Mytilus edulis: one gene and its partner. The protein of the gene in region 1 interacts with the protein of each later gene in a pairwise test. Links are inferred from orthologs where the notes say so. Each region holds a gene or a part of one and is shown in the gene's direction. Other genes may lie near its edges.

Region 1 (16,493 bases):
ATTTAACTAGAAGACCAGAGCATTTGCACCATAATTGGGTAAATAACGCCAAACTCGTTGCCGGTTATTATGAATTAATTGAAATATTTAAAATAAGTTTCTAGTTATGGTTGTAAGGTTGTACAGTTAACAAAAAAAAATGAAAGTCATTATACATAAATACATATTTGTGTTTGTTTGAAAAAATAAGATACTTGATTTTTATTCATTTCATCTGTCTTTCCTTCATGTATATTTTGTTGTTATATCTAACCAAAATGCGATATATGAGAAGCTATATTCAACATAATTAACTTTGAGCATCTGTTAGCATAGCACGAATTACCTTGAAGTGAACGCGATATAGTCAATTGCAAATAAATAAATCCAAGTTGAATTCATGTTCTGTTTCTTCTTCGTTTGGACCGGATTTGTAAACAAATCTAATGGATAAAACATTGTTTAATCTTCTGTCATTTTCGTATCGAAAGGATAATATTTTTTTTATTTAGCTATTGACGTTATGAAAGTTCAGCAAAACTCAAACGCAAGGTTATATTTTAACCTTTTTAATTATACGGAAAAAATGCATATAATTTAATACTTTTTCTTGAACGGTTGAATATGAAATGTATTGAATTGATAAACATGCGTCTGTCAGCATTTGTCTTCCATTAAATTAATCCGACACTTCAAAACATTGGGGAAAAAACTTGCTACATATGGAAGTAACCTCTTCATAGATATATGGCTACACAACTCAAGTTAAAAAAAGAGTCAAATAAAGTACGAAACCATAAACATAGCTAATGTAAACTTGAGAATGGAAATGGGGAATAAGTAAATAAAGGCAACAGTAGTATACCTCTGTTCGAAAGTCATATTTCGATTGATAGACAAACAAAGCCTGGTTACAAACAAAAACCGAGGGAATCTAAATCTGGATTTGCCTTCATCTAATGTGACCTACAGAATTATACTATTTATTGGGTTTGTAATAAATTAAGCAACGCGACGGGTGCCACATGTGGAGCAGGATATGCTTGCCCTTCCGGAGCACCTCCAATCACTCCAAGTGTTTGGTGGAATTCGTTTTTCTAAGTCTTTAGTTTTTTATGTTGTGTCTTGTGTACTATGTCTTTTTGTCTTTTTTTCAACCATGGAGTTGTTAGTTTATTTTTATATATAAGTTTGACTGTCCTTCTAGCATCTTTCGCCTTCTTTTATACTTTTGAAATGTAGGGAAACACATTTAATTTTTTTTAAATACTAGCATCAAAATCGCTTAAAAAACACCAATTCAAAAGGAACAATCAAAAACTTATGTCGAAGACACAGAACGGCATCAAAGAAGACGATGATAAAAGAAAAAGCTCACAAAACACTCCAAAAACTATAGACTGAGCAACACAAACTCAACAAGAATGTGTCCATAGTACACGGATGCCCCACTCCCACTGTTATTTTCTATGTTCAGTGGACCGTGAAATTGGGGTCAAAACTTTAATTTGGAATTAAAATTAGAAAGATCATTTCATATTGAACATGTGTATTAAGTTTCAAGTTGATTGGACTTCAGCTTCATCAAAAACTACCTCGACCAAAAACTTTAACCGGACGGACTAACGGAGGCACAGACGGACGGACGGAGGCACAGACTAGAAAACATAATGCCCCTCTACTATCTTAGGTGGGGCATAAAAAGCAACAACTACAATAAGAAGTTTTCTGACGATTTCGACCATGCAAACTTATTTGTAGATATTGTCTTGCTGATCTCCAAATACTTTAAAATCAGTAAAATATGAACAATGTTGAGTTTAGGGTGGTGTGAATCAGATGTGAAAAGAAAAAGACAGATCATGTTTGTAAATCACTCATTTTGATTCCAGCTCAAACTGAGATCTTCAGATGCTGGATTCTGTTTTATTTCAGTTTTTAAGCCAAAATAAAGTTTCCACTGTCATAAACAAAACATTGTTACAATCAATCCTTTAGAACAAGACATCATTAATTCACTGATATCAACATTTTTGAGTCAAGACAGCTTTATGAAACCAGACATAAATTAACTGGCAAGGATAATATCAAGTAGAGCAACTGCAATCCCAGCTACTGATAAATAAAATATACATTTAAATTTTGGTTGAAACATAATTTTGCCCACATTACTTTCTATCATACAATAAAAGGGAATTAACTGTGAAATAAATTAGTTTTTCAACAAACGTAAATGTTTAATTTTTATAGTATAAAGTAGACAAATATGAAATCATAATCAATAATTCTTTTCATAGCACTTTATCATTATTGCACTTGTGTACTTATAGAGAATAATCATTAGAGTCTTGGTATCACTTCTGTTTTCAACCTCCTCTCACATCTTTTTCAACACTTGCCTCTTTAAAAATAGTACAACTGATGAGAAACATCACTCATGCATATTAAAATTGGTATTCAGTCTACCAATATAGTCTTATCCAAAACGTTGGTATTAAGTTAATTAATCAAGGTCTTTGATATGGATGTGTACTGGCTGCAGATTTGATGTTTGTTTTTATGGTACTTGGTGCTTTTCCAATGTTTTGTGCTGAAAAAAAGAAAAATATTCTAATTTTTCACACTATTATTTACAAATAAAAAATTATAAATAATCAAAAGAGAAATATATATGTCTTCTGTAAGGCTATTGGAACAATGATTTTCAACTTTTTTTATTCAAATTTCGCTCATGAGTCTTTTCTCTGCAAAACATGAGTCTGGCATACATATTTTTAAGCCAGTTATCTATGATGAGTTTAATTCCATAACACAGTGCTCTTATGAATATATTTGACTGTGAAATTGTCACCTGACTTTGCTTTGATTGCATGTAGTTTGATATATAAATTGATTTCTGTTCATATAATGTTGACCTAGCTGGTTGTTTTTGGTCCTGATGATTTTAACACACAGAAATTTTGGGAAAATGGGACTAAGGGAGTAGTCACTACAGTTATCATGATATTGAAACCTACATGATGGTCTTAAAAAAATTCATGATTTTGTTTTTCAAACTAAAATTATGTGTTTATGAGACACAGATGCCCTAGCTTGTAAATGTACAACAAATTCAACAATATTCCTTTTACAAGGGGACATAACTCAAGAACAGTAAGAGACACTACCATATTCAATCTTGACCATGGATCTGCATCTAGTGAGTTTTATTCATATTCAAAAAGTGTTTTTAAGGTTGACATATCAAATCATTAAGTGATGTATATAATCTTACCCTGTTGTTTCTGTTGTTGCTGCTGCTGTTGTTGTTGTGCTGTCATACCAGGTCGAGAATCTTGTCGTTGTATTGATTTCAGTCCCTTACCAAACATCATGGCTGCCACCATTGAACTGGTATCTGTTGATGAATAGGTCTGTGCCATCTGGGCTTTCTGATCTAAATAAAATCATTTTTTTCCATTTATAAAGGGGAATAACTCTAGAACAATAAAAGTGATGCCACTAAAATTCAAACATGATCTGAGTTTTGTGGTAATGAGCAATGTGTATAAGTTACATGTCATTTGTTTCAGGCTAACTAAAGATAGAGAACGTATAGACATGATAGATGTACAGATGAACAAGGGTAAAATGTAGTTCCGGAAGGGGCACATAAATCTTACAATGTTTATTAAGTTTATGTTAACAAATTTTATTGCAAGTGTTCAAATAATCTAATTGATGAATACACATCAGTTTTGAAATTATTGGTTCAAGTAAATCTAAAATTCAGTTTGTGTCTCAAAATTCGCCGATACAATTCAAAATGAACCTACCAGTTAAAAGAATAAAAAGGTAAGTTTTTAAATTCAATCTTCCAATTGAAAAAATTAAGTAGCCAAGAATAACAAAATCAAGATTTTAAGTTTCCACTGAGCTACGCAAATTATTCAAGACATGACTTTTTACTTAATGCTAAGGATAAAATATGAATATAGGTCTGCTACAATAGGTTTATTAAAACTCAATGTTCAAATCCTACTTGAAATGATTGTGTCTGAGAGACACTGTAATGATTTATTTCACAATGTAGGATAATGTTTTGTTGTTGGTCCTTTCACACTTAATAACACAAGTTTAAAAAAGACAACAGGAGACAAAATATTAAGTGAATGCAAATAATACAAAGGTGAATTTTTTAAATCTATAATACTAAAATTACGAGGTCCAATTTGTCAGCCGTCATCGGGTAAAAACGACAAATCAAAGAATTCAACTCTATATATAGCTAATATAGGACAATGGTGTAGATTAAAAATTACACCACTCCAGACCCTTTTGTTTTCCACATAATTAATATTGCCAATAATCAACAAGTTCCGGGTCAAATCCGATACCGATACTAATAGTTTATTCACCTGTTACCTATAAACTTATCTGTACGTTCCGCATTTGACAGGCGCACCACCAAACGGTGTATTTAGGATTTTGATATATACACGGGTCATAATCAAAGGGCTGACACTACTAAATTCAATCATTGTCAAATTGTTCCCTATTGTAGTTTTATTCAGCAATCAGCAATACTTTCTAAGATAACTAATATAGGACAATGTTGTTGATTAAAAAATACTCCATTCCTGGATAGCCAGGACCTTCTGTTTTCCAAATAATTAATATTACCAATAATTGATAAGTTCCGGGTCGACGGGTTCAAACAAAGATTTGAAAGCAGAGAAAACTGTGTATCTTATAATCGACATAACTTTATCAGATGACAATATCAATTACTAAAACAAGGCGTAAATATATATACTTTAATTCAGTCACGGACCCGCGATATCACGGGTGTGTACTTGTGTTCTTGATTTCTAATGCAAGGAAAATAACTTACTTGCTTCACTTTCTAGTTCTTCTTTGTTAGAGTTTATTATATCCAATAAATTACTTGTGATCTTGTTCATTGAATTGAGTTGTTTCTAAAAAAAAATAGAATATATATATATGTACAATTTTGTATTGTAAATCTGTACAACTATGTAGTTAGACCATTACCTGCCTATCAATGCAATGTGCTGATTTGATGGGTGACCTGACATGCAAAACTTGACCCCAAAAATTGTATTCAAAAATTGAAAGAGTGAAGAATTATATATACATGATATATGTAGCATTTATACTTCAAGAAGGTTAATCAAAAATTTGCAAAATAGGTGTTGCCTTTGGATAAATGTGTGTAAAAAGTAGCAAAAATATGTATTTTTCAATTTAAATTATTATTTCCTGAAAATCTGCACTCAGAATTTGTTTTAAAATTATATATTATTTTTGTACAGAATTTGGGATATGGAAATATTGAGGGCTCATGAGAAATATTATGAAATTGTGGTGAGGATTTATATAAAAAAATAGATATGGCTTACTCTTCATGTAACTGCTTCCATCTTGTAAGAAGAATAAATTCCCTTTCAAATATTTATGTGATATTAAAGAATTATTGATATCTCATATATCTTATTGCCATACTTAGTTTAAACCTCAGAATTTTATTTTAAAGCTGTTTTTAAAGATTTTTTTTGCATCGACAGCACATCTGATTTTTTTAATTGCGTTGATCTTCAATTCTTATGAAGCTTACAGACTGTTCCATGATGATAAATGTTTGAGGGTAGAATGATTGTTTGTTGGTTATGTGTAGTTGTCTCCAAATTAAATTTTTCAAAAAAACAGGATGTTACATGTGTAGTAGTGGGCAATTTTAAAACTCATTCTTATTCTCACACATTAATTCTAACAGAATAAATATTAATGTGTCACCTTATGTTTTTTTTTGTAATCATTAATACATATTGTAAGGGTTATGTCATCAAAACATATGTGGGAGGTTAGGAAAGACTTTCAATATATATTACTACAACCAAAAACCATTTTTAGATAACTTTGCAAAATGGTAATAGAGGCATACTAAAAACAGACCCATGACCAACATTCAATAATTTAACTTCCCTTCCTACTTATACCCTCCCACATCAATTTTGATGCAATATATATTCCTAATACAGATTGTGTACTTTTCTAAGAAAAGACTAAATGTTCTTACTTGTGCCATGTCTGCTTGCATTGCAGCTGATTTCTGAACAACAATATTAACTTTGTCCTCGACCTCTGGTTCTGGTTTGGTACGGAGGTAGTCTGGTACAACTTCATGGTTAAAACAAATTACTCTTCCTTCTGTTAGTTTCTACAGAGCAAATACAATGAATAAAAATTTATGCATGACTAGTTATATTTAGAGGTGCATATAATATTTAGATACATATACATGTACTTAAACAAATAAATGTCTGCAATCATTTTTAATACTTTTTTCTCCTTATCTTAAGGATGTTGGCTCCTCTTGTTTTTTAAGTTTTGTAAGATATTCGAAAATTTTGTATTAAAATCCTTATTATCTTTCCATACTTTTTGAAAGAAAAAAGTTGCCTATGTTAAACATGTTAAATGAATGAAAATTCTTGAGAGAATCATTTCCCTCCAAATTTTCAACAGCATATCTTAGAAACAAGGACATGGACCCTTCATTTTTTTCTGCTATATTACATCTATTATTTATAACAGTCTTTTATAAAGCTTGTTATTTAGAAGCAGAGAAGCAAACCTCTTAAATATTTTTATCGCCTATTTTCATGATTTTTCATTGAAACAAATGAGATAAGCAAAAATCTGTCACAGATGACATAAACACACAGGTGCAAGCTGGTTTTTACTTCTTCTCTGAATTTGAAGATTTGCGAGTATTTTGATTTTTATAAACACCTTATATAATTATAAACATTAAAGTTACCATAATTGAAAAGTTTAACTTAAGTGAAAAGTCCCTTCCTGAAGTTTATTCATGTTTATTGAATATACAATAAGTCATACTTAAATCATAGATCAAATTTATTCTTTCATTGTATGTTCACACATGTTAATATGTCGTGTTCAGCCATTTCAAATTTCAATTGATATCTTATATTGTGTCTTTCTGTGTTGTGATGTTACACTATTGTTTCAGATAAGGGTGAAGGTTTGGTACCATGTAAACAATTAAACCCACTGAAATTGTTTGCACCTCATGAATCTGATGTTAAGTAGTTGTCGTTTGTTGATTTGGTTCATAACATAAGTGTTTCTCGTTTCATGTTTTTTATATAGATTAGACCGTTGGTTTTCCCATTTAAAAGGTTTCACACTAGAAATTTTTGGAGGCCTTGATAGCTTGTTGTTCAGTGCAAGCCAAGGCTCCGTGTTGAACACCTTAATTTTACCTATAATGGTTTACTTTTATAAATTGTGACTTGGATAGAGAGTTGTCTCATTGGCACACATACCACATCTTCTTATATCTATTAGATCATAAAATAATGTATGATTTATCTTTTCAGTACCTCAAGTTCAGCATCTCTATCAGGTCTCAGTGCCAGCGGTAACAAGAGATGATTTCGAAGATGTGGTGATCTGTCATTTTTCAGGACTTTACCAAGACTATTTAGCTGACCAGATATCAGAGCAAAATTATCCAGCACAGATGGCCTGAAAACAAGAAGGGATATTTTAAGACATTAACTACATGAACATGCTCTCTGATTAAAAGAAAGAACATATCGAATTTTTAATCATTATCATGATAAAAGGTTTAAGCAGATAGTAGCTTTTAAGGTAAGAATTTATACTTCAATAAAAAAAAAATGACATATAGCTATCATGGCTATAGTCAAGTACAATTCATTATTTACAAGTAACTTCTATAATAATTTTAGCTCATTTACAATGTCTAATATATCAAAGTTTGTTATTTTTTGTACATGTTTTTTTAATTTTATTCTGCCACATCATGTTTACATTTGCCAGATGGTAAACATGGTAATTGTACAAAACAGTTTTGAAATTTTAATAAAATATTTGTCAAAGAAAATGCATCTTATTTTGAGATTCCCTGGTCTTGTGATCTTTTTGTGCTTGATTCTTATTGTCTGTTCTTTCATCTGTTCATTGAACTATCCAGCTCCTTTGCAATTTCTGAGTTGTGTTAAGAATTGTATTATGCATAACTCAGTGTTTATATCAGTATGATCATGTGTCCACACTTTGTCTGTTGTCTAAAGGAGCATATTAACCATTAAAACATAATGTCCTACCAATTCAATGTTTGATATTCATTTTCAAGCTTAAAGAGAAACGATGCAATGGAATTTTTGATATCCTGAACTCTGTGGATCAAGGCATCTACAGTGGCTTCTAATTGCTTTTCTTCTTTCTGGAAAAAATCAAATGAAATATGTACATTGTAGTTGTAGTCATGGTAGTAAATTTGTAAAGCTAGTAAAACCGGTCTTTTCAGAATAAACATATTCAGCCATTTTCTGGTCTTAGCCTAACACTAATTTTAATTTCACAAAATGTATGTACTCTTATGATAATTTAACCCTTTCATGTATCCTTTTTACATCCTTGTGGGCATGCTGAATGTATCCATTTGGCACATCAGTGTAGATGCCGAATTCGAAAGCATCCTTTTAAGGATACAATGTACATAAATTTTCTATTTTTAGACTATCACAATCAAGAGGGTGACATAGAATTATTAAACTGTCAAAATTATTTTCAATAAGTGTAAAAGTTTAACAGCCAAGGTGAAAAAAATGAAGACCACAACAAACAAGGCAGACAAGATTGACAAAGTCAACTTTCTAGTTAATTTACCAATGAAAGCATTATAAAATTATAATATATAAATATAATATGATGGAAACTGAAAGAAGACCATGAGAAAGATACTAATAGTATTTTTGCTGTCAAACACATGCACTTTGTATACATGATAAAATGAACAGCATAAACATAATAAACGTGAAGTTTTCTTTTAAAACTTTTTTTTTAACTCCAAAAATCCTTCAGGGATAACTATGCACCTCTTCCAACAGGTGCATGCCTTCTTTATAACTGTTTCCTCAAAACACACTCTATAAAATTAGTTTTTAACCTGCATTTTTGTTTTTCTTTATAATAGTTTCTTGATTTTTAAACCGGAAATACAATACCGAATTCACGCATGCGCAATCGGAAGAATTTACCAAATCGCATATCAGCCATTATTTTGAAGGATCTGAAAAGACAGAATTTTATTATATAAAATTTATATCAAGAATATTCAAGGCTGAAAGGTAACTGTTTTGAAACCCATACACTTCCAGGTTCTACATGAAGCTACTTTGAACCAATCCGCGCACCTTGTTTCATTGAATAATTCTTTGTTCTCATTGGTGGGTAGGTCAGTGTTGATTGGGTGTCGATTCCCGACCAATTTATTGGTCCACTCTTCGACCCAATCTCCAATGATAATTTACAAACATTTCCCTGTATCAAAGAAGTAGCAATTTATAAATGAAATAAAATGTTTCTCCAAATAAACTCTCTGTGATCGACAGTCATGTGTTGACAAATATCCCCTCACGGACAGAACAAAAATGGCTTCCTTGAATTGCTTTCTATTTTTAGAATGTTACTACAAAAACAAATTCTGAAAATGAATTTCCCATAATTTTATCAACCTTTGGTGTTGTCTCAGTTAATATTGGAACTATGCAGAATGAGACTGATCAAAGTAAGACATTGATATACATGTATTTATATTTAATATTATTCTCATTTTTGTACAAGAACTACCCCCTTTCCCTCTTTTTCATGCATATATTTGTGAAATATAGAAAAAAAATGCTTTGATATGAATAAATGTCACTCAATTTAGGCTAGACACTTCAGCGGTGGATCCAGAATTTTTCATAAGGGGTTGGGGCCACTGACTGCCTCAGATGGCCGCTCAAGTCATGCCTCATACAGTGTTTCCCTGTAGAATCAACCAATTTACCACAAAAAGGGGGGAGTCCACCCCTCCCACCACCACCACCAAATCTGCATCTAGACTTGGGTATTAAAATGTATTTTATACAAGATTGTTTAAAATGCAAAAATAATTCTTCATTCATTTTATGTTTGGAAATTTAAAAAAAGATATAATTTACCATTTTACCCTTTATACCTTTACATGTAGCTTTATCCTGTAGTCCTTAAATAGGCTAATGGTGTCTACTGACTCCTCATCTTGGAATGTCTTTCTCATCTCATAATAATTGCATAATAATATATTTATATATATTATATTTATTTTAAAAAAAAACTTATTTAGGGAATATGAAAAAGAAATTTGAGTTGTCTCCCTGTTTTTCCTCTAAAATTAAAATTAACACTTTAAATTTAAATCTTTGCATTTAAGTTTTAAATGGTAACAAATATTTTATAAAATCATAATTTACAATTTTCATGTCATATTGCTTTCATGTTTGACATAGGCATACCTCAAAATTTGAAGTAAGTAACATCAATAAAATTTTATAAATACCTTTGAATAAAAGTATAAAAAAAAGTGATAAAGTGTGTGTTGAAAATGTTTGCCTCAACATATATTTGAAACTACTTCTTTTTGGGCAAATAGACTACTATCCAGTAGTTCTTGAATAAAAGTGAATATGCAGTGTGTGAAAAATTACAGATGATGGTCTCAAACTGGTAGACTGACAAGACTGTTTATTTACTCTTGAGTATGTAAATTTTTGACCTGTAACCAAATCTGTGGTAGGACCTTCTGGTACTGGATCAAGTAAGAGCTAAGAGAAAAATCATGTTGACAATCACATGAATCTGTGCAAATTGTGAATTCTAATATGATGTTTAATTGTAATTGCAATAAAACTGTGATTGACATCATAATTGAAATTGCAATGTCAGTTGTACTTTGAACCATGCTCTAGATCTAAATGAACATTTGTGTTGCTTTTGCTTGCTAGGAAATTAAATAAAATCATTTTAAAAGTAATTTTATCCATATATGATATCATATGCCCGTTAATGGGATGTATTATTAAAAACCGTTAATTGTCCGTCCATCAATTGTCATGTTGGACATTAACTTAAAAATGTTTAAACCAATTTGCATGAAACTTTGTCAGGTGAATTGTTTATACATGTATCTGTTTGATTTATTTATAAATTTTAGATTTTACATTTCTGAGTTTTATTCATTATAAAAGGGGGGATTTTTTCAACAATAACTCAAAAACACTTTCACTAATTTGCACGAAACTTTGGCAATGTTTATTTACAATGACATTTATAAATATATATAAGCTCCTTTTCAATTTTTATAAATTTTTTATTTTACATTTCTGAGTTATGGGATTTAATTCACAAAAAGGGGGGATTTTCAAGTTTTCGAACACTATACCTACAATATGTAAAGTGCTTTGGGCAGTTTTCTATAAACTTTAGTGACTGATTTACATGTATATCTATTAAGATAACCTTCCTTTAGTTATTATACATTTCTGATACATGTATGGTATTGAGAAGTTATTGAACTTTATTCTTTGAAAATGCCACTGGTGTATCATGCCTCATGGGGCGCAGCTGTTTATTTTTTTATTGTTAAATATAAACATGTTGAATTGTTGGTTTTCTATAATGTTTTGGTAAATCACATCAAAATGGCTACCTTTCGAATATACATGTATAAATAATAGGTCCAAATTGAAGTACAAAAGTTATAAATTTGCCTATCAGAACATGCTCTATATGCTGATTTTAACTTGAGTAGGTATTATTTTTATGCCCCACCTACGATAGAAGGGGCATTAGGTTTTCTGGTCTGTGCCTCCGTCGGTCGTCCTTCCGTCTGTGCGTCCGTTCGCTTCAGGTTAAAGTTTTGGTCAAGGTAGTTTTTGAAGAAGTTGAAGTCCAATCAACTTGAAACTTAGCACACATGTTCCCTATGATATGATCTTTCTAATTTTAATGCTAAATTATAGTTTTAACCCCAATTTCGTGGTCCACTGTCAGAACATAGAAAATGATAGTGCGAAGTTCAGGTTAAAGTTTTTGGTCAAGGTAGTTTTTGATGAAGTTAAAGTTACATCAACTTGAAACTTAGTACACATGTTCCCTATGATATGATTTTTCTAATTTTAATTCCAAATTAAAGGTTTAACCCCAATTTTCACGGTCCACTGAACATAGAAAATGATAGTGCGAGTGGGGCATCCGTGTACTATGGACACATTCTTTTTGTCTATAATTTAATCTAATTAACACTCAGTATAAAGATATTGACAAAAATAATACCTACATATATACATGTACACACATGTTAAAATAAGCATTGAGCATGGCATGAACAAATTGTATCTTAAAAGATTAGCTAATTTATGTTAATATAGATACAACAAAATAATAGAAAGGCATTCAAATTTCTCCAAAAATGTCCCAAACTGTAAGCTCATTTTACTTCTTTTAGTGCTCTTACTGGAGTTTGTGGCTGTCGTATATTAACGTAATGCCAGAATATCCTACATGTACCACAGAGCAGAGGTTTTTCCCCATTATCCTCTATAGCTAGTCCCCATTCTAAGTCATACCCTCATATCTCCTATTTTTACCAATTTTGAACAATTGCTATTCCATTTAAGGTACTGCTCTTTGTTAAATTCGATTTCTGGAAAAGTATTTTGTGTTAATCAGGACTTTTCCATTATAGATTAGTTTCCTGAACTTGAAACAGGATATATGTTCTTGTAATGTTAAACACTTCCTATTAACGCAGTTGTTTATCACGTTCATACATCAAATTAGTACAACATTTATACATGTATATAGAAATACTGTCAAAAGGTACATTTGACCCAGGGATTATCTACATGCAATAAGGAAAAAGATTTTTCTGGTACAGTGTGCCTGGAACATAAATTAATTTTACTCATGCTTGTACATGCTGTATATGGAAAGTTAAAATCAATATGTAGTTTATTTTGAAAACTATTATAAACAACTGCTTCACCATGTTTAATGCATATATACAATGCATCAAGTAAAAATCAATGATTTTGATGATATTCTTTATATTTAATTTTTTCTACAGGCTGACACGGCAACTGGTCTACATTTTTGGGGGTTACTCTATTTTTAATTGCATGACCTTTGATCTTATATTTAATCGGATTTTTTCCCTTGACATTGAACCATTTATCATTGCACTTTTAGATTTGTTAATTATTAGTATAACATGTTTTTAGAACACAAACAAGGAAATGTCAAATAAAATCTATAGTGATATGATATTATTATATAATAGTAATTAGAGGGAAATTTAAAATAGAACGATTATTTCACATTTGAAAAATTATTTCTTCAGAGAGTTTCCAAGATGGAGTACCCAACATCAGGACAGTCACCTAATGCTGCATCAATAAGTGGTGAAGCTGCAGCCATGCTGAACACATTCTGGCCTGATGCAATGAAAGATATCAGAGACCTAAAAAATGTAGGTAGATTTGTATTTAACAAACAAACTTATTAATTAGTTTTAATGTTAACAATTAAGCGACATTTTGCATTTGCGCTGATCTGCATTTCATTTGCGCTGATTTTTTTCTTTCATTTGCGCCGATTTTTTCTTTCATTTGCGCCGATTTTTCTTTTCAATTGCGCCGATTTTTTCCAGGTAAATTACAGGTGAATGCTTTTTTTCATGTATCATCATAAACATCTTCCATTAGCAATTTTACATATGTTATGAATTGTCAGTCAATTCGAATAGCCATTTACCAATGTCACTCAATAAAAAAGAAGATGTGGTATGATTGCCAATGGGACAACTCTCCACAAGAGACCAAAATCCTATCCCCCCTCATATTTGACAGGAAGTACAAATTATAGTAACATGATTCAGATGAAGCACATGTATTAAAAGGTTTTAATAACACTTTGCAAAATTTTGCTATTCAAGTAAGTGTAAATAAATCTGAAGTATTCATCAATTCTATAAATTTTAAAACATTTGGGTTATTACATATATTTAAAGGTAAAAAATTTAGCTCTTACATTGTTGAAAAAGGTACATTTGAATAAGTAATGAAACTCATCACCAAGTTCATTAGCATTACAAAGATTACAATGTCTTTCAGTTCTTTAAAACATAAAGTATTGCAATATTTTGCAGAGTTGTCTTCCATTGTACAGTAAAAATGTTTGATTTATTTTTGTAGGATGATTTCAAACAACAGATACTTCCTCTGGCAAGGATAAAAAAGATCATGAAACTAGATGAAGATGTAAAGGTAGGTTTTATTTTGAACATTTATGTCAGGGGCAGCTCAACCTGAGACACCCAGTAAAAATTGTAATGCATAGTTACAATTACAGAGGAACAAATATACATGATATAAGACACATTAAAAATAGCATTTTTTTTTAACAATTTCAAAAATTGATACCAATGAAAAAATATATATATTAAAATTAATATCATGCTCATGTGAGATTTAGACTGTTATGCTGGTGTGACTTCAAGTTAAGAGCATCAGTATTTTGTATGGTCTTAGTTTTAATTGATCTACCGGTAAGTGCATGTGTTATTTTATAGGCGTCTGACATTAGAGGTTTATTAGTTAGGATCACTTAACATTGCTCAAACTTTATCTAAGTAATTGTTAGGTACTTATAAATTGTGATAACCTTGTGTGAAATATTTTGCTCATTCAAGTCTTATGTAAAAATAAAATTGCAATCTCCATAGATGATCAGTGCAGAAGCTCCAGTATTATTTGCCAAAGCTGCAGAAATATTTATCAGTGAGTTATCACTTAGAGCCTGGATACACACTGAGGACAACAAAAGGAGAACATTGCAGGTATGATCTTAAAAAAGGTTACTGATTAAAGGTATAAGTGGACCAGACATCAATCCAACAGTAAATTTCATAATGAAAAAAAGGTCTAGGGTTTAAATCAATGATACTGCAGTCTTACAACACGTACATGTAAGAAACAGTTAACAGTAAAAAGTTAATACATCATATTATCAATCATGGAAGTTTTTTTGGTTTCAATTAATGTAAATCTGTTCATGTACAATTGAAAAGAAGAATTATTTACACTGTTGATTTTATGAAACTTAAAATGAGAAAAAAATTGTGTACTTATAGGTGTTTTTTTTTTATTCCTTCTGTTTTGATAGAAGTGGATCATTCTTTTCTCCTCAAAGTCAAAGAGACATACAAGAACCTGCCTGCAATGAAAGTTATTGCTGTAGTCTTTAAAAAGGTACCAGTAAGCTAGTACAGAAGTACTTCTGTCTGACATTCTGGACAGTCCTTGAAAAACAATGTCTAAAGGTCAAGAAACTCAGTCTTTAGAGATTTTATTAACACCTTATTATTATTTAGTAGAGTTATTCAAAGATTTATCTTAATATTGACTATGTCAGACTATTTATATAAATTATTTGTTTGTTTTTCTTAGAGAAATGATATTGCAATGGCTATTTCAAAGTTTGACCAGTTTGATTTCCTAATAGATATAGTACCTAGAGATGAACTTAAACCTACCAAACGAACTGTAAGTGGTTTGATATAGTGATTCAAAGATCTTTAACTGATTAAGCAGAAAAGTTAGTTTTTATAGATAAAAGATAAAAATATAGAAACCTGTTTTATTAAATAAGGAGTTATCCAAAAAAATGGTTTTATTAATACTGTTAAGTTTTTGCCATGATTTAATTATTGCAAAATTTGCGGTTTGATGGGATTCCCCCAAAACAATGTATTTTGTTTTTTATAGATCATTTGTTTGCAGATTTTCTGTAATTCTTGAACATTTAAATTGATAATATATATGTAAGCTTAGCTGTTTTTGAGATGTGAAAATGTTTTAATTTGGAAAATAATGTGTATTGAAATCAATGAAATGATATTAATAGACAGTAACGAGGGCCCTCATGGGGTTTTTGATTATGTGATTACTTGGCCGTTTTTTTAATGATTATTTGATTATTAAGCCAAATATTTCATGATTATTTGATTACCTAGGACTGTATTTTTAGTTTATGATAATTTGATTACTAAAGATAAGCAAATATTTAATGATTATGTGATTATATTGGCAAAAAAATGGTGATTATGTGATTACTAGGACCCCCCCATGAGGGGCCTCAGTAACCCAGCATGATTTTATTTCTAGGAAGACACATCAAGAACTAACAACATGTTGCCAGAACAAATACAGTATTATCTACAGCTAGCTCAACAACAGGCACAACAAGCACAACAACAGCAACAACAGCAACAACAAACAACACAACCCACACAGCAAGTCACCACACAGGTGTCACAGCCAACACAAATACAACTGCCAGGTACTTATAAAACTGAAAACTCTAACAAATGTAGTAACTTTCTTTCCTTTTATGAGCCTCTTAAATTAGGAACTCCATTATTGGGTAAAAGAAACATTATAACAGGTTAATAAACTAAAACAGAAAGAAGTTTTAAAAGTAGATGTTCTACGAAAGTAACTATGTAGTTTTGTTACAAGTGTAAGAAATAAAAATTCAAAGAAAATTTGAAGTAAACCACAATTGTGCACATTAAGTACAAGAAGAGGATTAAG
Region 2 (17,048 bases), on another chromosome or scaffold:
TTTTGCCATACGAGTTTGAATAACTCTTTGATATGTTTTGCCTCTCTATGTGAGCATTCCTCACTGTATTCTTAAACCGGTATTGGTGAAAATATGAATAGACATGGTCGTTTGACAATTTATCACTCTTTTACTTTGTCTATTAAAAGTTACTTCCCAGTCACCTGGTATTTTTGAAGTAATAATATAATAAAAAATAATCAAGAAAATCCTATGAGATTTGTTTGTACAGATTGTAATAGCCTGAACGAAGCTCTCAAGTCAAAACATTCGTCGCCATAAGTCAGAGGATTATAAGCAGTATATAGCTGTAACAATATATAAAACTATAAATTCAGGCAACAGTTTTAAACTGCTGTTTAAAAGTCATAAATCGATTAAGAGGAAACAAATAAAGGTTATAAACTAAAACACATCAACTGTAAGACGCACACAACGGAACATCAGAAACACTGAACTGCAACAAAAACAAAAACAAACGCCAACAGACATAGAAACTGACTATTTGATAACAACTGTCATATTCCAGACTTGGTACAGGACATTTAAAGAAAAAATGATGGGTGGAACCCAGTTTTTATAACAATATTACTATTATCATCATTTCATTTATGTTTGGATATAGAATTACAGGTGAACGTAAGAGGTTGTGTCATCAAAACTTTCGTTGTAGTTCTGCAAAAATTGGGAATGAACAATCCCCGGGTTGTCGAAATTAAAACTTTTGTAATCAGTGTTCAGAATAAAATATTGTTACCTGAAATGGTAATTCATGTCAATCCAATGTATATTCAAAGATCAATAGAGCTTTATATGTTTTCTATATGCTAGAATTCGTCTATAAATAGAGTTGTTGAACTTGAACTTGAACTATTTAAGCCAATTGTTATGTAATTTTATCATAGTACCAATTGAAACAAATTCACAAATCAAGACTTTTGAAAAATACTATATATGTCGAACACTTACAATTCAGAACATGACAATTCATAAATTTTTAAACAGGTAATAGGTAACAATGTTCTACTTTCAGCTCGATGCTATTCGTTTCTGTTTTAATGGAAAGGCATGATAAAATAAAAGACAGATTTTTTTTTGATTTATTTATATTAGGGTGGACAGGGGTAAGGGTACATAATCGGTCGGTGTCAGGGGGGGGAGATAAAAATAGGGATATTCTGGAAAAACATTTTTTGTTATATATTTTCGTCTGTGAGTAAGCGGGATGGGGAAGTGGGAATCAGAGAATCAGGGATAACCCTATCCATCACCTCAATATTGCTTATTAAAAAATAAAACTGGCTGACAATTGCGTTTATCAACAACCATGTGCATCAGACATCCGTCACGAATTCCTTATTTACTTAAAACTGTTGCTTACTCAAAAAAAGTAAAATCACAAAAATACTGAACTACGAGGAAAGTTAAAAGTCGAAAGTCCCAAATCAAATGGCAAAATCAAAAGCTCAAAAACATCAAACGAATTGACACCAACTGTCATATTCCTGACTTGGTACAGGCAATGTAAAAATGGGTGGATTAAACCTGTTTTATAGCTAGCTAAACATCTCACTTGTATGACAGTCAAATTCCATTATACTAACAACGATGTGTGAACAAAACAAACAAACACAATATGTAATGATGTCAAAAAAAGGGTTGCAACAGTCAACGTAGTGTTAATATCTTAATCGCTATAAGACAAACAGAAATATAAACAAACCTTCAACATGACACAATGACGGGATGTATAAGTACAGAGCCACGTCACATGTTACCAGGAAAAACAAAAAGACAAGCATACAGAATAAGAATATTTGCAAAAATTAAAGACACCAAACTTGCATCAAGTGTCAAAACGAAGCATAGAGACCGTTTCTGCATGCAGTTGCACTCTTTCAACACAATACACGTATTTATAAATGCATGTCTTTATAGTTATCTCTCTTAAAATTGTAATATACCTTAATTTATTTATTGAAAAATGTTATTGCAATGTCAAAATAAGCGTGCAGTTATTGTTGATAAATATTTAAAAGGTTTGGATATTCCATGGATAAACAGAGAGATAGGTTTTTGTGGGAGCTGTTTCAGATATTCAATCAAATATATGTTGTTAATTTGCGTAGTTTATAACACAAAATTTATAAATAGCTATGCAATTCATTACATATAATTAACAATCACATGTTAAGTGTATGTAGCACACGCCATTCGGACGTCTAGCTTGGTTACCAGATATTGTTTTAATAGTTTTTCTGGCAAGGCGGTATCCACATTTGTATACAGTACCTTAATATAATGATCTCATTAAAGACTTTAATCGTTTTTCATTCAGTAATTTTTTGCTTCATAAAAAAATACAGAGTAACAGACAGTTGACAGGGAATACTAATTGGTAAAAAATTCAAACTTTTAACGGCACAGAAAAAATATGTATTATTTCTTCAGTTTTGAAAATGTTACTTACATGTTGATTTTTTACAATAAATTGGCTAATTTGACAGCTTAAAACCAGATACCTTGTGGAATGTTACTAATGATGTAAAATTTTATAAACTATACCAATTAAATGAGATTTAAGGTAAACAAAATGATTTCTTCAGCGCAGGGACTAATTACTTCGTGTCAATCCTCTTTCCTCTATCTAATTGCCAATTAGACCCAAAGGGCTCAGTGTTAACGATTTCGTGGAGCTCATTATCCCAACAAGAAAGCATCATGCACTAGCTCGGTGTTAATTATTTTATCTCTGGTGGTGTTTTAGTAGTTTTAAATCCAATTTGTATTTGAGCAACTTTTAAATGATTTGGGTGACGAAAAATAAGGCATCATTAAAAACTTGACATGGTTCATCTGTTTTAGTACTAATGATGTTGGTCATCAGGGTTGTTTCAGTTTCTAGAACAGTTTGTTATTATTTAACATAATACCTACCATATATGATTATATAAACATGCATATACAGATGTGTTCATATGTTGTGTCATTGGGTTGCTGTCTCAAGTATGTGTATCCCAAATCTCTTTTTATAAATGCAAAGTTCATATGGTGCCTTTGAGATGTATTTTTTTCTGAATACACCGATCAAACCCGATGTTCTATTTTGAAACAGCACCTGAAGCTATATATAGGTAAAGGATTTTTCCAAATACAGATTGTAACACACCAAAAGGACACACACACAACGTTATATGACAAAATATCACATTTTTAATGATAAAACTCTAATTATTAAAATAAGTGTTTTCTTTAACAGCGGAGCATTTTCCGTATCGGAGTCAAAGAATTTTGAAAATTATCTTTTATGAAAAGATATATATTTAAAGTTATAAAAGATTTTTCCCGATCAGCAGTGACGTCTTGGAGATTTATAAATACTTCCGATACTCTCTTCGATTAAGAAACACTCAAACCATCTGCCCATCCGTCTTTTGTGGCATTTGAGGTATGAAAATGCATAGCCAAGTCCGCACTCACTGAGGCCATTTGACCCAACGCACGAATTGAAATTGTATCCAACATGTTCATGAAAATGAAAATGTGGTATGAATGCCAATGAGACAACTCTCCACAAGCGACCAGAGACACTGGAAGTGGCTCTTGAAGTTTTTTCAATTTTTGATAAACAACGTTAGTTTAAACATATTTATTTATAGTGTGGATTGAAATTCAAGTTATTACAACTTATATGTATCCCTTTCCACTTTGCGGGTGCGAGTGCTGCCTTGTAGCGGCATTAGCCTGTTCTTTAAAGAAATCTACAAGGGTGTATTTTACGTGCAAGAGATACGGTTCTCTCTTAACAATGGTCAGCTATTTATCGTCAACTTTCGACGGAATATCATCGTTTCTCAAGACCATACTCGCAAATGGTGTCAAAGGAGAGGCGAAAAAAAAAACATATATGACGAAGGTCGTTTGACGTCAAGAAATCTCCCAATATACCTGTTTTTTTTTCTTTATTTCAATTGGTTTATTAAAATTAAACGCAAGTTTAAAAGCAGCAGCATAAATTTATTCAAGCATTCTATTGGAGAATACAGTATTTGAAAAGACCTTCTGGGGAGTTTTTGTCATAATTTCACTTTTTTAACAAGTGGTATATGTATTCTTATGTTGTTTTGTTTTTGTTCGTGTATACATGTTTTGGGATGGGTTTTATTTTTTGTGGATATTTTAAAAGCCAAAATTTATAATAAATCAACCGTTTAAGGTGGTTCAAGGCTCTCAACTAAAACCGACAGAAATATCATACTTTGTCTAATGAAACAAAACGTCGTTTGGGGTATGTTCCGGCGCAGTATACTGTGAAGCATCGCCACTGGATATAGGTACGCCGAAGCAAAGAAACAATGATAGCAAACAGGATTTATTCTATCCTCGTACAGTAAAGAGCTATTCGCCGCACAATTTAACCGCTTTATTTATTTACATGAATTTCTCTGAAAACAATACTTATTTTAGTACTAGTAGTTTATTTCGAAATACAGTGTTGTTCAACCTTGAATATATACAACTTTTTTCTATGAAAACGTCAAATGAATAGTTGAAGGATAAATGTCCAAAACTGACGATATTAAGAGAAAAAGAGCAAAATAATTATCATCATCAAGAAAAGCGCGACGGTTCTGTAACCTTTTGTTAGGAGAGGTGAAAGATACCCGAGGGGTGGGGGCAAAATAAACTGACATCGCCATGGCCCAAAAAAAAGACAAATAATAAAACACAAAACACAACGACTGAGCAACACGAATCCCAACAAAACCTGGGGATGATTGCTTCTATTTGCCTGTTAACGAGTGTGTTTATACTGCCAACATCTGCAATGATATTTAATAAAGCGAAAATGTATATTTTTATACCCAAGGTAGTTTACTTGTATTTGTATGTAAAAATAGTTTATATAGTCTCTTAATTAAAGAGTTGCTCATGTTGTCAAATTTGGGTTTTTTTTAATAGTTGGAAATCATACTTCATATCCTTACTTTTGTAAAAAGATATACAGTGTATGTCAAAATGTGAAAGGGATTTTGTTTAAAAGACCTAATATCCAAATAATTTCAATAAAAAAATCCCCTCAAGCCGGTTCTAAGGGCCGTCTTAGACTTGAAGTGAGGTGAAAGTTTTTTTGTTTTTTTTTATTTTGGTGTTGAAGGCCTCACTGTGTGGTTTTGAGATGAAGAACAGCAATAAAAGTGCTATTTCTTTACTTTTTGTGTGTATTTTTTCGTGATGGGCATGAACTGATTTTGTGTCATGCATGGATACTCCATCATCTTTGTTTTTCTATTCTAATAAACGGAATCAGAAATTTACCATAAAGGGGTATTGACGTAGTTATCTTTGTTAATCTATTTAGAAATAAGTTATTTAAAATTACGAAGAACAACCCTGACACATGTTTGCTCGATGACGTAAGTATCCCAAAAACTAGTGTGCGAAATACCGTGTCTTAATTATATACTAAATATAATCAAAGTACTGAAGTACTGAACATCGGATGGCTGCAAGTTCTTGTGGATGGTCAGAAGCACTTGTCTCAGAAAGTAAATCACATATACCTAAAAGTGAGGTTACTAATAGTGTACAGAGATATATATTTTTCTTAGTCAAGTTCGTTCGTGGATGATGAATAAATGACAGGGAAGTCAACCTCGCCGTAATAACTATGATTGTAGTGATACAAATCAGAATACTCTGGTTTGTTGATATATATTATATTAATATTTGTATATAACAGTTACATGCATATATATTTTTCATCTACTTGTTTATCGTTCTGTTCTCCTATTCTAATAATAGTGCAGTGCAAGTGCATGGTTGACTCTCTTCTGTAATTATTAGGTTTTTCAAATATATGTCTAATGACAAAATATTTTCATATTATAAATTTATGTTCTTAAAACAATATTTCTATTAGCATTCATTGAAGAAATGAATTTATAACAAGTGATAAGTAATACTATTTTGCACTCGATAACGTCCGTGTATGTATAGATTGGTTACCAGTCAAAAAAAAAGTCACGTAAGAAGAAATCTCTGTGGCAACAATACATCGGTCATCGCGATGTAAAAATAAGAAGATTTGGTATGATTACCACTGAGACAACTCTTAACCAGGGACCAAATATCATAGCAAGTAACAACTTTATGGTTGTTTTGTCAAGACATGCGTCCCTTCAAATGTTTGATAAATTCGCGATATTGGCATTCTGTATTAATTAAATAGATGAAATAATGAAAATATTACATATTTATCAAAATCAAAGTGTTATAAACAGTTTTAGTAAACAGAAAGACGCGACTGGACAAAATCGTCGTCATCAAGACAAGAACAAAAGAGAAGCAAATGTCAGATTAATTTGTATTTATTTTGTTATTTGTTAATGTCAAACGCCAGTAGAAACCTGTTAATGCAGGAATAGCCAGAATAATTTAAACCAGAAGAAACAGAGTAGAAACAAACATTTAGTTTATCGTTCAGTCCGAGAAACCGCATTCATGCAAAAATCTGGAAAGTTTTTGTTATAAATTCGCATATTGGATATGAATGGTATGTTTTTTTCTTTAATCATAATTTATCAAACAACAATTGAATGTTATATATGAACATTTTGTCTTAAGTGAGAACCGTTATTGATATGAAAGTTATTCATGAAACGCACGGCAACTGGTATCATGCATTTGTGTTTGAAAAAGTCTGAAATTTGTCTGAAATTTCGTAAAGATTGAATGACATGCATTAGATAATCTGGCTTCCAGTGGCAAACACTGCTTTCAGGTCGACAGTAATTATACAGAATGATCAACAAATAAATTTGATTGTACTTATTAGGGGATATTTACTGGGGAAGGTGTTAAAAAGCAAACAATTAAAACACAGCCTTATAAAATACCACTGAAGGGTTTCTGTTAAATTCTGACTTTGTGAAATTGCGCATTTATACATTTGACATTGAGTCCTGCTGTCTGATATTATAGAAACTCAAAGATAAATCATCTGTATAATCCTAGGAATACTTTTGATTCTGAGTAAAAGATAGCTTAGGATTCAGTTGAAATTATGCCCTAGACATTTGCACGAGTCCTGCAGCTGTTCGATGTTATAGAGTCTCAGAAAATCAGCTGTAAACACAGGAATACTTTGGATTCTGAGAAAAAGATAGGATTCAGTTGCAAATCCGATTTTCAAAAAGAAATTCTCTTAGAGACGGAGATGCAAACTCATTTGCTTTCCTTAAAGATGGAGACAGCAGTCAAAACTCATAACAAATGTGCTAAAAAAACACTAGGATTTAGCACCATATTGCTCTAAGGCAACGTGCACACGTCATTGGTTTTCCACATGCTTATTTGAAATACTTGTAACAGACAAAAGCCGACAGCTCCAGTGTTGTATACTTTTAACACAATATCTAGTTTTAAACTCAAACGCGAATCGAAAGTACATCTCAAGCAAGGGTCCTAATTAATAATCACGCCCGAAAATGAAATTTGTTTTAAGGTATATTCACTGCAATCTAATTAAAAACCGATCTCTCGGTTTTTAATTAGATTGAATTCACTGTATACTGCCATCTTGGATTGTACAATAGCAGTACAAAAACGGTCTAGTTCGGGTTTGGGCGATAACTCTGATGCCTAAGTATAAGGTAAATGCTAAGCTCATTGCACTGTAAAGAACTCTTGCAACAATTCTGCTGGTTTCGCAGATGGTCTGGTGCAAGGGAAATTTCTTACCCAATCCAACACACCCTTATTTTCCAGTGGCTATCAAAATATACCGCCTTTTATCCCGATCGACCTACATTGATTATAACATACCTATTGATTTAATTTTTTATTATAAATAGTTGAATTTGAATGAAATATTTGACACTGGACATTTAACAAGCAACAATTAATAAATACATTAACAGAGCTTATTAAAATTTTTAGACAGATTGGAAAATTAGCCGTTAGACTGCTTATTTGTATATATAGAAAAATGGTGATTCATTTACATTATCCAAAATTTCAACAGAAAACCAAACAGTTATATTTTGCGACGTGTGTTGCTTATCAATTTGATTCGGTTATTACCAAGTATCAACACAAGTTGTTTCCGTTTTCCTTCTGTGCACTGGACAAAATTGGCTGTATATGTTGAGAGTAATATATAGGCGTTTGAACAAAAAGAACTTGATTAAATGTATCTTTAAAAATTTCGAAAAATTTTAATTGACCGCCTTTACGTATTACATTTAGTTACATTGCTCTTTCTGCTGGCACTACTTTGTCAATGAAAAATTTATAAGGGGCGCAACTCTTGCAACTGGATCTCTAATTACAGGACCGTGAAATCACGGAATTGACAATTATGCTTTTACTAATTTTTCGTATAGACGAAAAAATATAATGTTTGAAAGTATAAAAACCAAAATGGTAAACTTTGCCTTGATTAGTTGCTCCTTAGTTTTCTTAAAATACAATGATTTATTAACTTAAAATGCAAAGACAAATTTAAATCATGCAAGTACCGAACCACTGGGTTTGTTGGACTTCCGATGATCGAAAGAACACATCCGCAGCAATATCAACATATTGATATGACGGCACGTACATGTATCATCCCTATTGTATGCGCAAGTTTTGAACACCTGTCCAGCTATGTTGGCTGTTCTCAGCGTAACGAACGGTGCTGCAGTACTGAATCTGTCGTCAGCTTTATACATGCATATTCAGAACGAGTAAAAAATAATTCGGTAAGATATACAAATCGTGATTTAGTTTTAAATACTATAGTTTGGCATGGACAGAAATGTTGCTTTGTACAAACTGTCTGTAGGCGTACAAGGAGTCCAACACTGTCTTATAGAATTAACACAATTTTCGCTGCATTTGTTAATCGGGTATTAGCAGATGTTTGAAAGAAAATTATCGTTAAACGGATTATCTGCAATTCAAAATGTCCTATATTTTAGTATATAATTGATATAAAAAAAAACTAACGGTAAAACGATTATAATTTGTAAAGAAAAAAATGATATCTAGGATCCTCAAAAGTTACTTGCAATCCATAAATACGTAATCATTTTATGTTTTGAATTGTTATAATTGATCAATATATTAAGTAATAACATTTATACAATTCATTTTGTTGTCGAGATTGAAAAATAAAACAGATATATATTTTTCAAACATCTGTCGTCAACTTCGATATTTTACAAGAATCTTTGTTTGTTTTTTGGGTTTTTTTTTTGTTTTACAGAACAATTTCTTAAAAATCTTAATATATAGATTCAAAAAAAGACCACAAATGAAATTGTCTGCTATAATTTAATATTGAAAGATACATTTTGGTTTAACATTTGTCGGGTTAGAAGAACATTTTAAGGTATGTGGGTATTTCAATTAAACAGTCAAAGAAAAAAATCCATTTGAGAAGTTTAATTATCTAAAGTTTGACACTAATGCGTTTTAATAATCGTTTTATTACTGTTCCTATTATAATAGCCGATAATTTTAATTATTTCCTCTAGTTTTATTTTGATTAAAATAATTGAATACGATCTTCCTATAAGCCGACCAGTATAACACAAAACTAATTAATAAAAAATGGGTTTCAAGAGAGTCGAGATAAACATCGCGTTTTTAATCAAGTCATAATTACCTATTTTAAAGCAACAATCATTATTAACATTAATAATATTGACAAAATTAAATCTGTCAATATTAAACTGGGCGGAGCCGACGTTATCATTTCTCCATTCATGCTATTGAAACATGCGTTCCGATTGGTTAGCTACAAATGAGAAACGATCCAGTCGTAAATACGGAGTAATTCATAACACACAACCATAAAATAATCTGCTATAGGAATTATGAAGTTGTTTGTTGAGGAACGTTAAACAATACAAATTATTGTGTATGTTTGATTCTTGTATACGCTGGTTTGTTGATTTCAAGCTGTTGATGTAATCCGACCGACTATACATCCATTTAAGTGACGCATATTGGACTATGACAACGAACATTTGATAGTGTACGACTGCACACAATTTAAAAATACATTTTCAAGGATTTTTTTATTAACTGAAACATTTCTTTGTTGTTGTTTGTAATTGAAGCAGACGATATCTAAAACAGACGGAATATACCTTCATCATGACAAATGGTTAGTATAAAGCTGAACACGTGTTTTTATCACATTACTTCCGTTTAGTTTTGTTTATCTTTTCACACTGAACGATAAATCATCCTTAAAATAGTTTATCATATCAAGACTAAATGTCTTAAGAAACACAATCTATGTGTGCACTTTTCACTGAACAAGTCTCGTATGAAACGTCATTTTAAATGTATAAAATTGAAACCTTGATTAATTTCGAATATCCTATTCCATGTAAGGCATAACGGTCTACACAGACGACATACAATCACAAACCGTTTTTCGAAAATGTAGTAACATTTCGGGTCTTGTATCTATTTATAGTATCTTTTCAGTTTTTGCAATGAGCAGGGACTTCAGGATTAATCATGTAAACAAGTCTCATTCTGTAATCAGGTATAATCCTGTAAATTATTCATAATTTAATCTTTTATTTTTGTATGTGTGTATTGATCAATCCCAAGTTAAACAAGAGTATATTTACTTCATTAGTTGTATTATTAGTTTCACTCGAGAACATTGGTGTATAAAAATTGGGTAGTAGATTTAACATTTCAAATAGCAAGGTAAGCAGTAGTAAATCATTCAATATCTCGACATAGGTGTGACTGGAGCACTCTGAATATACTGGAAATGTGGTATACAACCTTGATTCCATAAACAGACGACAGGGTCACCAATGGTGCGGGGACTGCTAACCAACACATCAGATCAAATCAGGTGTTTGGTGGGGTTTGTGTTGCTCATTGTCAGTTTTCTTCGTAGTGTAACTGTTTGCCTCTGACGACGATTCTGTCTTTGTTTGACCTGGTTAATTGCCCCCCTTTGTACCATCTCTTGATAAAAATAAAATGTGGTATGATTGCCAATGAGATAACTCTTCACAAGAGACCAAACAATACAGAAATTTACAACTACAGATCACCGTACAAGTCTTCACGATAAACCTTTAAATCCACAAGCCCGATGCTCAATTTTACGAAAATTTGGACACGTGATTAGTACGAGAACTGCCTCGCACAGCCTTCAACAATGAGCAAAGCCCATACTCCATAATCAGCTATAAAAGGCAGTCCCATTATTGCTTCATTCTCTGGAAGGAGATATAAAAGGCGTTGTTTTTTCATTCTAAACAAGGCAAAGGAAAAGAAGGCTTCTTCATTAAAAGCACAAATCTGAAGTTAGTAGTATGATGCTTCAATTTGTGCTCGACGAACATGACTGAAGCAATTGTAATTGAACATTATACAAGCAACACTCACTCAATTTTTTTTTTCTGTACAGGTACAGAAGACAGTTCTTCAATGATGAATAATGGTGTGATGCAGGACATAGGTAACCTGGCCAACAGCGTGACAGGTGAATCCCCATCATATGGCAAGGCATGTGCAGGTTGTGGTGGCAGAATCTTGGACCGATTCCTGCTACACGCGATGGAAAGATATTGGCACACAGGTTGTTTAAAGTGCTCTTGTTGTCAGACAAATTTAGAACAATTAGGATCGTGTTTTACCAGATCTGGGATGATACTGTGTAAAAATGATTACTTACGGTAGGTACAAATTGAACCCATGTGTATTTACAAAAAGATTATCGTGTAAATGTTAAATAGTTTAATACAGGGTTCGTGGGAAAATGTTTACGTCGTGAAGTTTTTCTCTCACGCATTTGGGTATTTGATAATTTTCTTAGTAGTATAATTAAGAAGATACTTAGTATTATATAGTATACTAAAAAAACCATAGACAGTGGTTTACCAGTGGTGTGGCCAGTCCTCTGTAATCTCTATCAAAATACGCCCCTATAATTGTATTAAAAAGCCAGAATAGAGATATTTGATATTTTTCAGAACTATACTTTTTGAATTATGTATAACAGGGATTCAGTTCCATATCTTTCTTCTTTCCCAATTGATGGTGTTATGCATAACAGATTTTTTTTTCAGGCATACTAAACCTTTGTTAGTATTTTTTTGTGCTTGTATATCTACAATTTTTACTGTATGATCATTTAAGATCGTGGTATATGGATATCTCGCGAACTTCTCTGTCCTCGTTAGGTGGTTAGCTTAACGAATCTTACTAAATTGATCGTTTGGAATATGAGCTATTCTTAATCATTTGTCTGTCCAGTCTAATTATAAACCTCGAGAGAATAAATTAGCTTTCTAATTCATTAGTAAATCAGTTATTTACTGTGGGCACCTAGGATAAATGCATGTTTAGCAAGCACAATTGGTCAATTAAGACTCATTATTGGGTTCAATTACAACACAAGTAATACCAATCCGAAACTTTATTATTACCAAGCTTAACTTAATGAAAAGTAAATTGGTTCCTTTCATAAAGGTAATAATAGCATTTTATACGTTGAGAAATGAAGAATAAATATTAAACGAGCTTATACAAATTTGTTAAAATCTGATATATGTGTCAAAAGAAAAAAGGCGATAATATTAAATCATCTGGAAAAAGAGATTTGTGTAGATTTAAGTTGTTAATATTGATTTTTAGGTAATGTTTGTATTCAAGAAAGTAAATTTGGGAACAAAAAAAGAAAAGCACAGGTGTTCTTAATGAAAAAATGAAAACGTTGATGGACAAAAAAGATATGTGTGAATAAGTCATCTGGTTGATATCAAGTTGTATACAAAACAAAATATTTTATTGAATTTGAGAAAAAACATAACCTAAAAGAACTTGAGCAGTGTAGGAAAGAATTCAACTTTTTGTACGTGCATTCCATAAACTCAGTGTAAACCTGGGACCAATAGACACATGTATTAGTCCCAGTACAAACTGAATAATTAGACAAATGGTTTGTTTACTTCTGTTGTTACTAACTAGCTTTACATGCAATACACAGTAATTAACAAACGTCTGCGGCCTCTGATAAACGACACATTTGAACCAGACTAGAAAGCCTTTCAATTAACTACTGTTCCGTTTGGATAAGTAGAATAAGGTACATTTTAATGAAGTTAAATTGATTTTAGATGCCCCTATCAAAATAAAAATTACAAACGATTTTTTTCTTCTCGACAGATGTCGTATTCGCAGAGTCTAAGTGTATGATAATGGACTCTCTAAAAGTCGGTTTAGTTACGTGATAATACATTTGAACAGACTACTTAATTATCATGTTAGAGTTAAAGTAGTGAGAAACATAAATGGCCAGATAATTAGAAGAAAAACGTGTGTTCCATTTAGGATCGATTTTAATTAATTTTCGAGATTGGATTTGTTCGTCAACAACAAACTAAAAACCAATTTCCAATATCAACAAAGGTTAATTTCAGCAATCAAAATGAAGGAAAAATTAGTTTATTTGAAGTTTCTTGATCTCGCAATTTAAATTAATTACAATTTGCTTTTGCGTGGCGGTATTGCGTTTTTGAATGCAGTCTCGGATATTAAGACCTCTTTTCCAGTATTATCAAAATGTGCAGAGAATTAACTTGTTAAATCTATTATTTCCTTCTTTGGTATGTACTAAAACTCGAAATCCTCTTTTAATACGACGCATTTGAACTAGCGGATGTTTATATATTGAATCCTTTATCACTAAAGAAAATGCATTTTGATGTCCAAACATTGATATGATCAATTAACATTTAATCTCCTGTCTTTCATCCTGGTTTGTACACCTTGTAGGACTTACTCAGTGGTGGATCCAGAAATTTGTATACGGGGGTCATTAACTGCCTTAGAGGGGACCCCGTCATTCGATGATGTCCTAATATCATACAAATTTCTCCCACTAAAGGGGGACCCGTGTCCCCAGTTCCAACCCCCTTAATCTTCCTCTGTTACTTAGTATTAAGTTGAATTTTCATTAAAAATTTGCTCTTGTTGTCCATGTGTCGATCCGTCAATCAATTTAATAACTCTTTCTCTGGCTTGCTCTATCTTTGGGGTACCAATATCATGGTGTGTCATTGTTTGGTGAGTACATATATAATGCCTCGGTATATGTAATCCTAGACATCTTCGTTGTTTGGCATGGGTTGTTACCATATAGGCTAGCGAAGGTGACTCCTAGATTTAACTTCGATTTTTTAATTCTTGGTGTTTTAACACCACTTTTAAGCACTGCTTTTTGGCCATTCCGTAGCGGCCAGTTTTTATTGGAGGGGGGAGCCGGAGTGCCCGGAGGAAACCATCGACCAAACTGACAATCCTAGTCAATTAAGATTGGAGTCGAGTGCATCTGCACGAGCGGGGTTCAAACTCACAACCTCAGTGTTGACCGGCTAGTGATTACAGTAGAAACTTGTTAGACCAGTGGACCACCGATTCCCCATGAATCCTAGATATTATGCCCGGTAGTCTTTTAACTTGAATCGTGTTTACTTTCAAATATTCTGAGACTTATTTGACGTCAGATAGTGTTTTTGGGACTTGCTGTTGTCATAGTCAGAGATTGCTCTGATGTCTAACAGTCTTTTAAAAAAAGTTGTAGGGACCATGACCCACCTCCCCCAAAGGGAAGTCTGTCTAAAAAGTCTATCAAACGTTAAACAATCTCGACAAACTTTCAAGTAACTGTAATTCAAACCGAAAATGTTTCGTAGAATAATGCCTCCGTTCATATCGACGTGAAGTAAGACACTAAAACAGAAAGATATTTCCAGAGTACGTATGAGAAGTAATTTCCTTTACTGTTAATAAAGTATTTTAATATCTCGGGGACCAATAACTTTTTAATAAAACTCTGACAAATCGTGAACAAATAATTTCAAAAGAGGGAAATTAATTAATTTCGGTAGCATTTATTTCATTCGTCTCGCTGTTGGCGAAGGATATTAAATCTACCCTAGTAGTATATATCACTAGTTAAATCAGAGATAAATAATTGATTGTGAGAATTTTGATTAATTGATTGATAACGTCCCTTTATACCACTCTTCAATCTGAAGTAGATGAATGAAAAACGACAGATCACGCGATGTTATATTTATATTCAATAATGATATTACGTTTAAAATATGAATTATAATTGACAACAGACTGCAGATATTAAATTTAATCATCTTTAAATATCTCGAGGTCTCTCAAAGGGAATAACATTAGGTTCATTTCGAACACGTATATAGCTTCATTTCGAGTTCATAACCACCGACTAAAATGAAGTTCAACTATACGAACTAAACGACTATGTTCAGTTTGGAATGCATTTTTTTATTCCCATTACATAAAGCCTTCGTTGTGAAATCTAATTATTAACCGAATAAGTATACATATAAATGAAAGACGGTTCATGGTAAATTCTTACCATAAGCTCTAAAACATATGGCTTACTTTTCTGTTGTATATACGAAGCCACTAGTCTAATGGCTAGACTATTATTTTTCATTGGTCGTGGAAGTCACGAATTTGGATGGACTTAATATCACGAACGACTTGAGAAACGAACCAATTCTCAAAACGACAAATAGTGCGTCCCTTTCAAATTTAGATTCCATGCGATGTATTATTATCTCCCAACAGTTTTTCTAATAATTCTTCAGCTAAAATATTAAAACAGAAATCAATTTGATGTCTATGTGATAACATCCACACCAATCTATTGTTTTAGTGCACTCATGAATATTACAAATATTAATTACTTAAAACATTTGTTATACTTTAATATCGGCGTTACAGTATGTACGTTCTTGACAGTTTTATTGAGATTGCTGTAGGGGTCAATTTTCATAAAAAGCAATGTCAAGTTCCCAGAACGAGTTGTTGACAATGACGGCAATAAAATTATCACAAAAAAATCATAATCCACCATATATCTAACATTGAATGTCAAATAATATAACTAACGGTGGACAGATGTCGTGGTAAATATATTAAAGAGAAACAAATATAATTTAATTTGAAAGAGCATGTACATCGTGATAGTACTAAGCACAGTATTTTCTATACTGTAATGTGCCTATTTATTGTTTCGAAAGTTTTTATAATATATGTACATTGTCAACTCCAGTGTACTTTTAGTAAACGAGTACACCGTATTAATGATTTTTTAACGCATTTAGTACCGTTATAGTATCATGATCTTCCCTTGAATTGATATAAGATGTGGTATGAGTGCCAATAAGATAACTGTCCATCCAAGTCATAATTTGTAGAAGTAAACCAGTATAGGACAAAGTACGGTCTTCAACACGAAGTCTTAGCTCACACCGAACAGCTAGGGTTAAATTAAATGGTATATTTCAAAATGGTACCCTGTTTTGTATTCTCGTCATGTCGTAAATGAGACATAAGTGTTATATTGGTACCAAGTTCTGTTCTGTTCTGTCAGTTCGAGTACTCCTTACCTCCATTTGATCGCGTTAATCTGGTAATGAAGCTGTAAAGGAATTACAAGTCGACTTTTGTTACCTGACGTGTTTCATAGATAATTACGTGTCATAGAATTTTTACGTTGATGTACTACATAAATAATTACGTAAAACGACAATTAGCAAAGAAAACTACATTCTCCTTCTCTGATTTCTGTCTTGTTTTAGAAACCACTGATAAAAACAATGGAAACAATAGAACGAAATTAACAGATGTTCCCTCTCTATTTGCCATGCGCACAGTTGTCTTTCATCAGAAAAGTATTTTCTAATTAACAGGAGCACGACGCGTAAAATTGAACAATTTTTTTAAGATTAAAAATTCCAACATAGTAAATAGCGAGAATGTATTGTTTAGATGATAAAAACGTTTACCTCTGGTTCAAAGAGATTTTACTCTTCACATGATATTAGTTTATGTCTAATTCGACATTTAATTAGTAAATAATGATTGATTGCAAACTTTTGTACAATTTCAGTAATCAACTTACAGATTTCTATATTTCTGTACCAACAACACCATTTCTTCACATTGCTATATTTTCATGCAATAGGTTG

The links.
Region 2: the proteins of nuclear transcription factor Y subunit gamma-like (region 1) and LIM domain transcription factor LMO4.1-like interact in binary tests that used the Homo sapiens proteins (3 or more experiments, as listed by UniProt). The link is inferred for Mytilus edulis from reciprocal best matches to the Homo sapiens genes NFYC and LMO4.

What each region holds. Positions count from the first base shown.
Region 1 is NC_092344.1:62,047,332-62,063,824, forward strand, and holds the start of nuclear transcription factor Y subunit gamma-like, read left to right. Parts: upstream 1-9,386; 5' UTR 9,387-9,589; coding exon 9,590-9,604; intron 9,605-12,637; exon of another isoform or gene 12,638-12,772; intron 12,773-13,240; coding exon 13,241-13,369; intron 13,370-14,093; coding exon 14,094-14,165; intron 14,166-14,623; coding exon 14,624-14,737; intron 14,738-15,347; coding exon 15,348-15,443; intron 15,444-16,064; coding exon 16,065-16,239; intron 16,240-16,493. Other genes in the region: mediator of RNA polymerase II transcription subunit 8-B-like, read right to left, coding at 2,487-2,569, 3,254-3,415, 4,853-4,937, 6,059-6,199, 7,389-7,533, 8,139-8,257, 8,913-8,930. UniProt on the Homo sapiens protein: Component of the sequence-specific heterotrimeric transcription factor (NF-Y) which specifically recognizes a 5'-CCAAT-3' box motif found in the promoters of its target genes.
Region 2 is NC_092345.1:48,585,193-48,602,240, forward strand, and holds the start of LIM domain transcription factor LMO4.1-like, read left to right. Parts: upstream 1-9,772; 5' UTR 9,773-10,149; coding exon 10,150-10,159; intron 10,160-10,529; exon of another isoform or gene 10,530-10,549; intron 10,550-11,437; coding exon 11,438-11,705; intron 11,706-17,048. UniProt on the Homo sapiens protein: Transcription cofactor. Plays a role in establishing motor neuron identity, in concert with MNX1, acting, at least in part, to disrupt LDB1-LHX3 complexes thereby negatively modulating interneuron genes in motor neurons.